Saccharomyces cerevisiae S288C: one gene and its partner. The gene in region 2 interacts genetically with the main gene of each other region. Each region holds a gene or a part of one and is shown on either strand. Other genes may lie near its edges.

Region 1 (7,957 bases), on a different chromosome or scaffold from region 2:
TGTCAATTCAGTCATGATTTGCAAGATATTAGGAGAAAAAGTATGAAAATTAAAAAAGTAATCTTGAGCGGTACGAGAATCGAACCCGTGTCCCCACCTTGGAAGGGTGGGATGATAACCACTACACTAACCGCCCGGGGTTAACTTGAAAGCTCTAAAAGCTCGTTTTCCATATATAGGCATGTTACAATTCCTTTCCATTCTTTCCATTTTATCCATTATCTGATGCATTTCCCTGATAGAATAAGAACAAACTACCATCCATCGATTAGTATTCATGTCACTAGTATATTAATTATCATTTATGATGTAAAAAGAGGACATAAAAGTTATAGAACAGTCATTAGGTTTAATAAAAGCTTAAATAAGAGGATCGATGAAATAGTAGGATAGTGAAACATATAAAATGGAAAAGAAATAATAATACTATTAGGTAGATATATTGATTCCCTTTGGATTCCTGTATCTTGCAGAAGAACTTTCAACATTTTTTCTATACGCAATATCGTAGCCTGTAACAATAATTGTTGGGATTCCATTATTGATAAAGCAATAATGTTAGGTATGTAGGATATACTAGAATTTCTACTCGAGGGTATAGGAATCCTCAAAATAGAATCGAAATTTCTACATAATAATTGAAGAGAGTGTGGGTTCTGATGTAATTGTTGGGATTCCATTGTGATTAAGGCTATAATATTAGGTATGTAGATATACTAGAAGTTCTCCTCAAGGATTTAGGAATCCATAAAAGGGAATCTGTAATTCTACACAATTCTATAAATATTATTATCATCGTTTTATATGTTAATATTCATTGATCCTATTACATCAATGCTTGCATTTCAGCTTCCTCTAACTTCGATGGCAACTTTTCATACCTTATGTCACCATCTAACGCCTTATATGACAATATACTGACATTAGGAATACTAGTTGATATAAGATAGTGGATTTTTATTCCAACAAATTTTCAGCTCCTTTTTTTCCTAGGTTATAAATAAAAACAGTTAATGAGAAATGAAAATTCTTGTCTTTACTCAAGCAGGAATTACGAAGCCTATCAGTCGCATAATTAATATTGCATATAATGTCTATATCCAACAGTGTTCTTGTAGGGTATAGGAATCCACAAAAAGGAATCAATAAGTTTTACCCTCTACACGTTGTCACCCCTTTCCTTTATCACACTATCAACCCTTGTGTTTGAGCTTCTAATAAATTCGTTCCGGTTGGATCTTATTTTGCTGATTTCATAATTTACCAGCTTCCTAATGGGGTGTTTAGTAGTATTTCTAGCAAAATGAATAATAATATTAACCTCTTTCACGAGTTAAAAAGTTGTTGAATTTCGCGGCAGTAAGAGGGTACCAAAAATACTGGACTAGCAATTGGTTTATTATGAAGTACTTATCCCTGTCTGTACCATATGATATTATTTAGAGAAAGCGCAAGCTTAATACCACCTTGACCTTAAGCAAACTACGTAAGCACTAACTCAAAATAGGTAAACTTCATTGGTCGCAAAAACTGTAGGTCGAATAATATATATGTGTTAGTGTTTATATTTATTTGTAAGCCCTTAAAGAACCCCTGTTTATAAAACGGAGTCAGATGGGAAAGAAGCTATAAAAAGTAATTTCATCGCTGTTTTTCATCTCTACGTCTTAATTTCATTTTCAAATTTGAAGCTTCAACCTTGCTGCGAAAAATCAATAACGGAACAAAAGGTAAAAAAGTAAACAGGACGGTATACTCTTAGCAGTAAACATACATCAAAAACACCGCTTGTAACCACACTATCCTTCCAATTTTGAAATAGCGCAAGTTAACCATTAACGAATAATAATATGATTTAACATAAAATATTGATTAATATAAAAGATTAAAACATATAGAAGATATTTATGTTCTGACAACACGAAAGCTTCTGAGGGCTCCTGTCTTGGTGTTTCTCTGGTAAATAGTGTAACATAACTGTTACAAAAAAAAACTTCAAAAACTCTCCACCTTGTCGACAAATTGCTATCAGATACCAACAGAAATTTTTCGCTAACTTGAATCCGTACTCTAATTTAAAAACTCCAGTGATGATATTATTACAAAGGAAGACCATTTACATGGCTGCTTCCGTACCCAAATCTAGAACTTTCAACGACTGTGACCGCAGACTATTTTGCCTCCTTAGAATTAAAGCGCACTTAGATAGTAGGTTTTAACCAGTTGAAAAAAAAAAATCAACCTCAGGATAATGAGAATTTTGAACTACTACAACCTCCTGTTAGAATATTTTTTGGGAAAGTATATCCAGCCTGTTCCCAATCAGTTAAATTGGCGTTATAATATGCATTTAGATGGCTTTGGATATAATCATATGTCGGGTAGTCCTCAGGATCACAAGTAATGGACGTAGAACCCTTCGGCTGGTATAATCGGACGTAATCTATTGACATTGTCACCGGGAAAAATATATATTGCCAGTCGATATAGGCCCAGTTGTTGGAAATACCTAAGTTTAAAATCGCTGACATTGGCTCCTTACTTATTCTCCTCCAGTCAATATTACCACTAGGATGTAAAGAAGTAGCATATAGTGTGAAAGTAGGGTTCTCTCCCACAAACCAACGAATATATCCGTTGTCGTCATCATTGAGATATTCAATGGCATACTTTTGAAAATAACCTGCTTCCTCCCCAAATTCATACCATGTTACATTTAAAGTGGATATTGCTGAGACAGCTTGTTGAAAAGGCCCACCAGCGTAAGTATTCATAGTTGTTGTGGTGAAATTATAAACTTCGATGAAGTCATAATCGGGCATGTACCATATATCAAATGGAGCAATTTGTAGAGATTGTGACGCAACACCAACACCCAAAATTGTATCAGCTTCACCTTCTAAAATATCTATTTCCGGTGCGCCTCTTCCAACTCCCTGATTTGGATGATCCTCATTATCACAAGTACAAACACTCAACTTTTGTCCCGGCAAGTAAGAAATACCATCTGGGGAACTTTGGTTTGGTGTTATACCAGCGTCACATGCTTCATATGAATAAGGCCAAACACCTTGAGTACTCGCCAAATAACCTGGTCTGCCCAAGTTCCCCATGGTCCACATACCAGGCCATAATCCTGTAACTCGACCATAATTAGGGAGGTTCGCGGAAACTTCTAACGCACCTTCTGTAAAGCAGAGTTTGTTCCAGCTCTGTACCATACCAGATCTGTAATAAAGGTCATGGTTTCTGAATGCATCCATTCTCAACGTCAAGGTACCATTTGTAGTTGTAACGGCATCTGGTGAGTACCATTCAAGATCTTTCGTAGCGTCGTAGTGGATGTCAGGAGCTGTCCAAAACTGGTCATCGCCATCGTAAAAGGTCCTACCTTCAGCATTAAATTCATCGGAAAACACCAGCTGCCATTTAGATCCATCTTTCGCTACTCTTGTCTTCGCACTGTCAGGTGTGTCTGGATCAACTAAAGTTGTCCTTATAGCCGCAAGTTGAGGATATTGATATTCAGTCAATGACTTGGATGTAGTATTAGAAGACGACGATCCTGCTGAATTTGCCGCATGAACATGTTCATGATGATAAACTACCCCGGAAAATGTAATTGCAGGTAATACAATGAAAATAAATATACCAGCCATAAATAAAAATAGAATACCCAGAAGCCCCAAGAAAGATCTTCTATCCATGTGTTTGAAGTCGTCAACGAACCTCCTTCTATCTAACTTTGCTTCTTCCTCGACATTTGGATTATGAATGTAGTCATCGTCTTCCTTTTCGTCCAACGTTAACGGAAAGAAGGAAGCTGGATAACCGCCAAAGGGCGAAAAATCCTGTTCGCCCATGTATAAGTTGGTGGATGATAATGAAGAGTCGTGAGCAGAAGAAGATGAGCCAGTCATATTCGCTCTTTTCTTTTCATTTATAAGGTTCTGCGACTGAGATTGAGCCGCTGAAATATGCCTCGTTCCTACTAGCGGATATCTGTCAAAAGGTGGTGGAGACTTAATTAAGCTGTTGTTAGAAAAGCTACTCATATTATTTGAAGAAGGATGAGACGGTAAGTTTCTGTCCGGCGGCTGTAAATGTGATGCAAAACTATTATCGTTACTACTGCTTATAATGTTCTTATAATTATTGTTATTATGATTGTTTAAGTTATTAGCAGAAGTTAGGTTAGTCTTAGCATAATAGCCCTTATAGTCTGACATTCTTTGACCATTTCTCTCGGGTGAGTTCTTTTCATTAGCCAGAAGAGAAGTATCGCTGTTAGGATCGTTATTATAATTTATGGATGAAGAACTGGAATATTCATTTGCCCCACGCCGCTCATCGTCTCCACTGGGTGAATTATAATCTTCGTCAAATTCTTCACTTCCAAGGAAAGGATTACCGCTCACCCTAACGTTCTGACCATCTGCAGGTTCTAATGATGAGCTTTGTCTTGATTGCTCATTCGAGGAATAAAAGGAGTTTTCGCTTCCGGAAACACTATTTTCGCTGTTGGAATGACGATTATTGGTGAGGTTTCGCACAGACATATTCTGCTATTGTTTATGTAACACTAGCTAGTAATGGTTATAATATACTGTGTGCAATAGGCTTAGATCTGCTGTGTTTTTCTTATTATTTACCGTTTCTTTATTTCCTATTCCTTGCGTAACCGCTAACGATTGTAATAATTTTATCAAACCTGTAAAAGTTTCTACCAGCTGCGTAGAATCAAATGGAATATGGGTTGTTTTTTCGAGCGACTGAAAATACGAAGAGGCACTTTGTAGTCGGAGTAAATCGATAGTTGTAGTAGAATATACTGGTTTAATATTCTTCTTCTCTTTCTCTTTTAGCTTTTTTTTAGCAATGCGAATTTTTTCTCCTTAGAAGGTAGGTCTCCCTATTTTGGTCAGTTTTAAACGGTTCGCAGAGCGATATCGTTTGAATGCAGCAATGTAGTAGGCAAAAAAAAAGGGACAAGAATATACAGTGCCGAAACGTCTATGTACAGTGATGGCAGTTGGAGGAAGGCCTATGTGAAAGAAAACTATATGCTGTTATGCTCGGGAATATATAGTAATCTGCGCAGAGATACATGTTCGGCACAGGCTCACCTGGGCCTACTAATTACGCATCGATGTTGACCAATTTTCCGCTTTGGGCACGCATTCATTTGTTTTCCTTTTTAAAACAACTCAGATCGTATTTGTCTCAGCACCCACACCTTGCACCAGGGTCCGTTTACCCATTTGAGGAATATGTTTCTAAAAAAAAAGAGCCGTAATATTCCAGTATACCTCATTAAAAGTAAAAAAATTTGGACGAGTCCGGAATCGAACCGGAGACCTCTCCCATGCTAAGGGAGCGCGCTACCGACTACGCCACACGCCCAATTAATTGATGAAAGGGGAGAATAGAGAAGAATAATGAAGTAAATCTAATGAAATATCAAAAAGCCATTCTCAACGTAACATTTACTCAATTATCTTCAGGGCAGGAAGGGGAGAAGAAAAAAAAAGCTCTTTTACTTGATTACTGTTTCCGTTAATTTGAACTTAATTTTTCTAAAGATGGAATTGAGATATTGGTGAATTTTGAGATAATTGTTGGGATTCCATTGTTAATAACAGTAGTAATATTAGGTATATAGAATATACTAGAAGTTCTCCTCGAGGGTATAGGAATCCTCAAAATAGAATCGATAAACGATAGTTGAATTCTATTCAAGCAGAAATGAATTTCAATCATTCGATAAAGTAGCTTGTATTTTGTGAATCACTTGCCATTCCACCATAAAATACTAGCATAAATGTTAACATGGAAAACCGGATTTCTAGGAAGCAAATAATTGTACTAAAATCACGGATACTAATAATTTCTACTTTACTGTTGCCCTTTTATTTTGTTATATTGTAACAAAATAAATCCGCCTTCTGCCGTGCCGATTTATATTCCTTTCATAAAGTCAGTGAATTATAGTAGTATATAAGATGCATATAATTAGTTATTTAATGCCGTAAAAATGAAAGATGGGGAGTATGTATTATCACCCATTATATCTCCTCAATAATAGAGTTTCCCTTGGGAGATCTGCTTAGGGACTCGTTGTATCTGTCAACTTCCTCATCCTCAACGTCTTCTAATAGGGGTGAAGCGTGTTTTTTTAGTGTATTACCAGACACAGAGAAATCCAAAGTCGTATCAGAATCACTGTTTATACTTTCATTATCACTTTCTGCTGAACCAGAATTGCTATTATTATTTTTATTGCTGGCCTCAATCTCAGAGATAGGCAATGATTTGGAATTTTGCAATTTTTTTTGCTGGGACCTCTTGGTTTTTTGCTTATTTATCAAAGATTCTTTCCTTGCCTTCAATCTGGCTTCCTTCTCTTTCTTTTGCCTTTCTTCATCTTCCTTGGCAGCTTTTTCCTGTTCTGATTTTCTGCTTTCCTCCTGCATCAATCTTTCTTCCTCTATCCATTTTTTTATTTGGTCTTCTTTGGTTAGTGGTTCTTTCGCTTTCTCCGCTTCTTCCTCCTTCAAAGATTCAGACATGTTAACATCATCGTGAGACTCGTCTATTTTGGATTCAATTATTGGCATCTTTGGTTCGTTGATGCCACCTTCGGAAATTTCTTCCTCATGCTTAACTAAACCAATCTTTAAAAGTGCATATTTTTCTCTCGAGCCATCATCTATGTTTTCAACTCCACAGCCAATAACAAAAACATCTTCAAACACTTGGTCTAGAGAGAATTCCTTAAAGATTTTATCCTTCTTACTCAATATGCTCAATTCATCACCTCTATGATTCAATTCTATTTCGTAGTCTTGGAAAAGATCCTTAGCAATTTTCTTTCCTATGGCTCTAAAATCCAGATCTTTCAATGCAGATCTCAATAGAGCATCTTCATCCGCTTCATCTTCAACATAATACTGGTTTCCAAAAAAATCTTGGACAACATGGTAAGTTGGTCTGTAATGGTTCTCCTTTAGCTCACCTAATTTCTCATTAACGTACTTTGAAAAAAGTTCATATGGAATCCGCTTAGACAAGCTTAATGTATAACCATTTGGTGTTTCAGCAAGTGCATACCTCAAAGGTTCTGAACAATTTGCATCGCTTTTTTTTGGAGCTCTTAGGTTAGCTTTTATTGCTTTCCTCCTTTTACATTCTGGATAATAGCTCACTGGAGAACTGCAATCAAAATAACGCGAATGTAGGGGCTGACTAAAAGATGGCAGCTGTTCAAAAACACATGGTGAATTGAATATGGAAAACATTTCTATATTGTAATGGGGTCTATTAGTTATTTTCTTTTGGTTGTTGTTATGATTGTAATACTGATATTTCTTTCAAGAAGAAGAAAATATATATAGAGCAATGAGAATACCTGTCAATGAGAAAAGATTGTTCTAATGCTTTTATATATGTAATGCAATAGATCTTCCATTTGTTTTGCCACTTTACTTCGCCAAGAACTGAAGGCTTCTATGAAATTCTTAATTCTTCCATCCTGGGCGGCTGTTAGCCCAACCCGACCTGGTTCGGAATATCGCCGAACAAGAAAACTGGATACAACTCTCGAGCTCCACCGAGTGTCGCAATTTTCCGGAACTTTCTAGAAAAAAAAGTGTCAGTAACTTTACAACCACAGACGGTGCGAAAGAAAAAAAGAAAAATACGGCTGAAATAGTGCTACATGACGATGCACAGTACATACACTACAGCATGCTAAAATAGCGAAAAACGCCCAAATATTCATTACCCTGTAAAGTAGTCCATAATGAAACATACGCTTCCCCTCCACGTCAAAAAACGGAGTATGCTACGCAGCCACTTTGGCCTTATGTTGTACAGCAAGATACCACAATTGTCACCCACAAGATCATTCTTTTCTGCATCCAAACCTTCCCCTCTTTTTATATATCTTCTTGCCGGG
Region 2 (7,603 bases):
TTTTCAATTGGTGCGTCCGAAAATCCTAACCGATCAAGAACATTTTGATCTCCAATGGAAACAACGTCTATACTAGAGCCGTTGTGAGCTTTTGGTGGTAGTCTCAAGGAGTTCGTATTGTCTCTGTTGTCTTCAAAGTTATCCTCAGAATTACCGAGATCTACATTATGCAGCCAAGATGATCCACATAAAGAAAATTTCCGAAATATCATCTTATTATCCGTCAGCGTTCCGGTTTTATCACTAAAAATATAAGATACTTGCCCCAATTCCTCCAGAATGGTGGCAGTTCTCGATTCGCATGGCGTGTTCGTTTCTGCATGGTACATGTCTATGTCCCATTCCATCATTTTACTTTGGACTACCTTGATAATTTCCATTGTTACATATAGGGACAAAGGAATCACAGTGTTATACATGATGATAAAAGACATTATTGTGGGTGCTACGCCAGCATCTGCCTGAAATAGATACCATGCTTTGTTCTGGTCGATATATTTTTTCTTATGCAAAACATGGCCAAGATAAGAAAATAAAGATATTGTGGCAACGACAAACACCATAAACACGATAATCATATTTATCTTCCTTTGTAGCTTAGGGGCTTTCGTTCTTGGGTTTTTTAAAGCATTCATTCTGATTTTTGTTTCCTCACCACTGAAAATGACCATACCAACAACATTTTGAGTATTCCTCAAAATACTACCACGATAAATGACATTATCAGGACCTAGAGGGTATTTCATTATGGTATCATTGCGATGGTTTTTCAATTCAAGATTACCTTCAAAATTATATAAATCAATATTGGGATCTTCCACGGTAACTTGAGCATTAATATTTGCAAGACCTGATGCGGCTTTGGTTAACTTATTTAATTCTGGATGGGGTTGTTTACTTTTCAAATTTGTTTCGCCATCTAAAGCCATCGTTTCAACGAAACATTCGCTATTTTCGCCGTCACATGTCAATAAAAGCAGATCTGCAGGTACCCAATCATCTTGTGTGAGAAGTACGAAGTCTCCAACACGAAGTTTTTCCCACTTCTTTTGATGAATATGAACATTGTATTTATTCTTGAGTAGTTCAAAGTTATTGAAGTGCGTGTCTAAGAAGTGTCCTTGAGAGGAGTTCCGATCATCGTTTAAAGGTGGATTATTTTCAGCAGCGGCCGATTTAGTTAGATATGCAGTGGATGAGACAACACTACTTGGTAGTGTATAAACTTCTTGTGCGTCATTATTTCCATCTTTAACCAACACTCCCACTGGTTTATTGTTCTCTTCCTTATCTAAACGATGTCTCCTGAAATCGTCCCAAGCCTCTCTTGTCATGGATATACCCATAAATACACATAAGGGGATAATAGTTGTATAAGTACCAGTTGTAGACCATCCAGGTATCATTTGTAATACTGCGACAATGAAAAAATAAGTATTGGCTAACTTTGAAAATTGTGCATACAACTGTCTAGGCAAAAAGGAATAGAATGTATATCTTGATGAAGTTATTCGGTTGTCGCAGTAAGGCTTGTTGAACCTTTCGTCTATCAAATGACCATCCCTTTTAGTAGCAGCTTGTTTGTATTCAATTGCATTATGATCTAATATAATCGGAATATGTCTACCGTCTTTCGAATGGAACGTCCTCCTTCGATCTAGGATAGTATCAAGTATTTTAGTGATAATGCTATATGACACATCAGGACTACCATACTCTTCCATTTCATAATCCTCTTCAGCAGCATAATTGCCGCTTGTTTCATCTCTGTCATCTTTATCGTTATTATCGCTACCGGAGAACGTCTTACTCTCATTTATATCTTCTAACTCTATCTCATCATCAGTTCTTCCGCGATATTTATCATACAAATGCTTGTTGAACATCTGCGTTCGTAGTGATGAAGATCTTCTTCTTTGCCCATCAGCTATGCCCATAATATTTTTTTCTTTTTAATAAAGAATGGAATTAAATTATCTACTTCAATTAGGATGTTTATTTGCTGTATGGAAGCTATGTGTATATAACGATAAAGGTCAAATAAAAGAAATAACAAAAAAGAAAAGAGTGAATGAATAGTCCAAAAGCAATGGGGTAATTTGGCACTTGATCTTTTCTCAAGACTTCCTGCAATATTGAATTCTTCTTTGTTAAATATTCGCTTACTTAAAGCACTTGACAGACTGGGGTCGAAAATAACCCGGCTGCGCAGCCCGTCATTTGCTTATTTAGAAAATATGATTAAAGTGTAATTAGTTATTTCAAAGTACATATTAAAATATATTATCATGAATCATTTCCTAGTAATCCTTTTAATTCATACAAAAATGGGATAGTTTCTTCCGAAGATACTTTGCATTTGCTGAGAGGCCTGCTCTCAAGAAAGGCATCGTCTCTTAATGGTTTTTGAAAGCCAAACTTTACGGACATGGAAGCCTGAGCTTTTCTTAGCAATTCAAAGGACTTTGCAGTTCTTAGCCTTTCCCTGCCTTCACGGTTTTCTTGAGCCAATTTCAAAATTCTTTCATCTAACTTGCGTCGTAATTCGTTGTCAGAAAGTTGCTTGAAATCTGGTTTCCTACAACTATCCTTTCCGATAAAATCTACGCGGTGATTTTGGCGTGAACCGGCAGAACATTCCTCCTGACAGTCGTAGTCTTCATATTCCTCTAGTTCGGTGTCGTTTTCAAAAGAGTCATTCACCGATTCAGCAACATCAATGAAGTCAACTTTCCTCTCTAAGCTAAGACCTTGTACTGACGAAGAACGGGGTGACTTTCTGCCTTTGAGGATATCCAGATGGAAACCATGGTTGATTGTATTGGTTGGGGATACCTTTTGTATCCTAGAAATATTGCCACAAATTTTCGAGGTTTTCCAGAAAGTAATGAGCTCCTCCAACTTATCCTCAATGATGTTCCTATCATTCTCTGTTATGCCATTTCGAATGTCAATAGCTAATAGATTGTTCTCGATCATTTTTAAGTAATTAAGTGCCTGAAACAATTTATCATTCTTTGAAAATGAACATACATTTGCTCTTTCACAACCAGTATTAGTTGATGTTTCTTCAGGAAATGCATACAATATTTGCTTATGGTCATTCAAAGACACCAGGACAGTGGAGAGTAGTGAATGTAATCCTCTTAATAGACTAACTATATTTTGGAATGTACCTATTGGATTATATTTTTTTTTGAGTTGCACCCTTGCCATGTAATCTGGAAAGATTTTGTTTAGTGCGTTTCTCATGTTTACATTTGAAAGATTTTCGTTTCCTGTCATATCTAAAGACAGCAAACAACAGAGCATAAATTTCTTTAGCAGTTTGAGACGATAAAGCTTACCATCAAGGTCTTTTACTGTGGTAGTATTATTATAGTAAAGATTTGGTACATCGATACCGTATAATTCACAGTATTTCGATAGCTCACTTGTATCGCTAAAGATGACAATATCTGGAATGATTGATTTGAGTTTATAAAACAGTGCATCACTTGAGAATACTAGGAGCTCTTTTATCACAGATGAGTGCTCGTCAGCAATTGAAATAAGAGACACTCTTGATATAAAACTATGATTTTTTATTTCTTTAAATCGAAGATGATATTTATGAATCATTACATCCACTTGTTGTAATGATTCGAGCACTTTCCGTACCTTTAATAAGGTTTTATAGCAAATCAAATGTCTTCGAAAGTATTCTTGCTGAATTGATAAATACACTGCTACGAGTATTAAAATTACAACTCTCTTCAGACCTGGACTATTTTTTTTTCTACAGTATTTTTTCAACTGTGTAAGTACTCGATAAGAGGTTATAATCATCGAAAGGTAGTTGAAATTTTGTCTGAAATATAATTTTTTGTCCTCTGCTACCGCCAATTTACCATATTTTGTCGCCATAAATGGTACAGATTTGGGAGGTACATTCTTTAACAAAGTTGAGCTTTTATGAAAGTTCATAATAGATTGATCAAGATGTAGTGATAACCTGTAATGATTCATATCATTCAAAAAATGAGAAGTAATGATTGAATACCGAAATTCTTCAAAGAATTGGTGTGTTACACCGAATGGCTGTTGCATGAAAATTCTTGAAATAATATCATCCCAATTAAAAAACTTCGTTGTTTTTCCTACGGTTATAGGTGAAAAAGTACAGTCATTAGATCCCACAATTGTAGGGGAGTATTCATGTAATACGCTGCGGCTGCTTAATAGGGACGGTTTTCGCCACGTAGAGTAAAATTCTTGACGATTGTTCTCGGTGACACCTATTATGTTATCACTATCAAGGGTTAGACTAGAACTCATGAATCCATCCTCTTCGCTTGATTTCAGCATGGAAAAAATCTGTAAACCGGGAGCCTGCAAGGCGGATGGACGTGAGTTTGTTGTCATTATTAAGTTAATCAACAAACGTTTCACAAGTAAGTAAAAACAAACTTGTTGCAATAAGCGTGAGGTATGCCGAGCAGTTATTGAGGGGGTGAGATTTTGACCTTTGATAAAACTCCTATAACCGTCTAGTATCCGGTAGTCACCTAATCATTTATGATATTGGGTGAAGATGAATGTTTAGTTTATTTTCAGATCAAGTGTTTTTATTTACGTTTTGATGTTTTCATGCGGGATGTCTTCAAAAAAATGATTTCGCCCAGGATCGAACTGGGGACGTTCTGCGTGTTAAGCAGATGCCATAACCGACTAGACCACGAAACCATAGTAAGTTGGAGAATTCTGTATAAAGAGTATGCTACATTTCTCTAAATATGTTAGGAATTAAATATAAAAATTCCGAAAACTTTGAGGCACCGTCTTTTTAGCTGGCCAGATAGCTTGCTTACCTATTTTCTTGCTAGTTTAAATTCGACCGGAATAGAAATTTGGTTACAAGAACGCTATTGCGCACCAGATGCAAATTTTTTTTTTATTTTATATAGTGTCACTGGCACCCCTCCATTACATTGTCTAATTTAAAATAACTAAACTGATATACTCACTTACTCTAACGATTGACTCCTGCTTGGTCAAAAATATGTATAGATGTTAGACCATCTTTATATGCCATTATTTTGAAAACCTAAGTGAGAAGTAAGTTTCACACTTCATTTGAGAAACGATACACCTGCACTGAACGATGATCCCAAAAATCGTTCCGACAAATACAGACAAACAATTTTCTTAAAGATTCAAATTAGAAACATACTACTCATATGAAAGAAAAGATGCAACGGTTAGTATTGGAAGAATGACGATGAAACACTTTTTGTTGTTTAATAGGTTTTAGCTATCCATTAGATCAGGAGAAAAGTCACCAATGTTAAATATGTCGAATGTTTCTGTATCCATAGAAAAAGAGCCATTTAGTTGTTGCTGCGAGTTACTGTTTTGAACTTTTACGGTACCCTTACCGCCACTGTCCTTTGGAGTGACATTGATGAAGTTTGTAGCAGCTGAATCACCATTTTGTTCCAGTTTCTTAGATTTCATAACTTTCTGAGCTGCAGCAACTTTTCTTGATTCCTTGGTCTTTGTTTTACCCACTCTCTGTTTCCGCTTGGGTTGAATTGTTGTAGTTATATTAGGAGTTGTGCTGGAGCTAGAAGTACATTTTGATGATGGTTGTGATACTGTGGGTGTATTATTACTATTATTATTATTATTATTATTATTATTATTATTATTACTATTATTACTATTATTATTATTATTATTATTGTTGTTGTTGTTATTGTTATTGTTATTGTTAGGCAAAGGAAAGACGGAGGTAGAATCATTTTGTGGTACTGAAGTATTGGTTTTATAATGTTGTGGTAGATGAAATTGTTGTTGCGGAGCGAACGCATGCATTGCGGAAGAAACATTTTGATATAAGGGCTGCATATTGATCATAGGGTTTTGTCCGGATGGATTAGTCTGCCTCATACCTGGATTTTCAATGACAGGAGACCCCATATTTCCTGGTTGTAATGGCATAGTGTTGTTAGCTGGCGCTATACGATTAGTGTCTGGAGGAAAGGCACTATTTTGTAATTGCTGGTTAGCCGCCATTCTTTGCATCATCATATGCATGTACTGCTGTTGAGATGTTATATCACTAACAACCGGATTTGCGACAGTGCTTTGATTTTTCATTTGTTGAGGAATTGTTTTCATCTTATTGAAGCGGGCTCGTATGTGTTCTTGCAATAAACTATTGCCATTTGCGTTATTGTCATTTGTGGGCGTAGTTTCTTCCGCAGTATTGTTACGTGTATTAGATTGATAATTTTGATTTCCAAGATTTTGCTGTAGTGAATTTTGCTGTAGTGCTTGCTGCTGAAAAAACATTTTCATAGCGTTCATGTCATCAAACCTGCCAGATTGGCTTTGCTGAAAAGATGGCGCCTGTCCTTGATTTTGGTGGTGTAATTGATATTGAAAGAAGCGCTGCTGGTCTGAAAACATTGAAGATTGGGTTTGTGCATTAAATTGTTGATTTGTAGGAGGCACTGAAGGCATAAGTCCGGTTGAATGAGAATTTTCCGATGGAATATGAGGGACCATTTGTGGGTTGACAATAGGATACGGTGTCTGTTGCTGCTGTTGATGTTGTTGCTGTTGCTGTTGCTGTTGCTGCTGTTGCTGTTGCTGTTGCTGTTGCTGTTGTTGTTGTTGTTGTTGCTGTTGCTGTTGCTGTTGCGGTTGATGCTGGGGTTGATGCTGAGGCTGCTGGATCTGCTGTTGAGATGATTGCTGGGGCTGTGCTGGTGATTGCAAATCATTGAAGTGTTTATGTAGATTTATAGTTGCGTACTGCTGCCCAGCAATATCACTGTTTATAGCAGTATCAGGTGCAAAATTAGCGCTATTCTGTTTGTCGTAGACACCGGAAGTTCTCGATAGAAATCTTTCGGAGACGTTTCGATTGGTTGGATCGTTTAAATTAAAGTTACTTCCGTCACCATTGGGCCTAAAACTCTCCTCTGAAACTGGAAAACTATTTTGAGTTGGTGGAATCACATTTGGTGGGAGATTAGAGAAATGGGAAGGCATATTAGATTTAGAATTAGCTGGCAAAATTGGTATTATTCTCTCTCTTAAAGGATTATGATCCTGTTGGTACCCAGATTCTAGGTCTCCATTGAACAATGATTGAAAAATTTCCCACCATTCCAGTAAAAACGTGTCATTAGCGTCCATCAGCATTTTCGAAGGTAATAGCCCATCTTCACTAACAATGTCACCCTTAGATGCAATATCCATTAATCCCTGCTTCAGGCTGGCGTTCAAGCTAGTTTTCCCACCCGAAGCAGATCCGTTTATTCTAGATAAAGGAAGGTCAGCTTCGCTTAAAAATTTTGCGGCAGAGTTCCAGTAATTGTTTTTGATTAAATAGTTATAAATATGGGCGTACAATAATTGCTTAGAGTTCTTAGCCATTACATCCGAAACGAAAACTCGAGAATCCGCATCAAACTGCAACTGAGTATGGCTATTCAAACCTTTGATATTGGGAGCTGAGCTAAAATCCGTGTTACTAGAGCGCTCATTTGTATTAATATTGGTCGTGTTATCCATATCTTTATCATGCACCTTTTTCTTATTTCACTGCAGT

The links.
Region 1: mutations in INP2 (region 2) and SKN1 together harm fitness more than expected from each alone (negative genetic interaction), as found in Saccharomyces cerevisiae (one large-scale study listed by BioGRID).

Annotation. Positions count from the first base shown.
Region 1 is NC_001139.9:771,795-779,751, reverse strand, and holds SKN1 (beta-glucan synthesis-associated protein SKN1), read right to left. Parts: upstream 4,560-7,957; coding exon 2,244-4,559; downstream 1-2,243. Other genes in the region: BTN2 (Btn2p), read right to left, coding at 6,066-7,298; VPS62 (Vps62p), read right to left, coding at 7,780-7,957. UniProt on the Saccharomyces cerevisiae protein: Required for synthesis of the major beta-glucans of the yeast cell wall.
Region 2 is NC_001145.3:581,985-589,587, forward strand, and holds INP2 (Inp2p), read right to left. Parts: upstream 4,405-7,603; coding exon 2,287-4,404; downstream 1-2,286. Other genes in the region: aminophospholipid-translocating P4-type ATPase DNF3, read right to left, coding at 1-1,937; MSS11 (Mss11p), read right to left, coding at 5,290-7,566. UniProt on the Saccharomyces cerevisiae protein: Required for peroxisome inheritance. Acts as the peroxisome-specific receptor for the myosin V motor MYO2.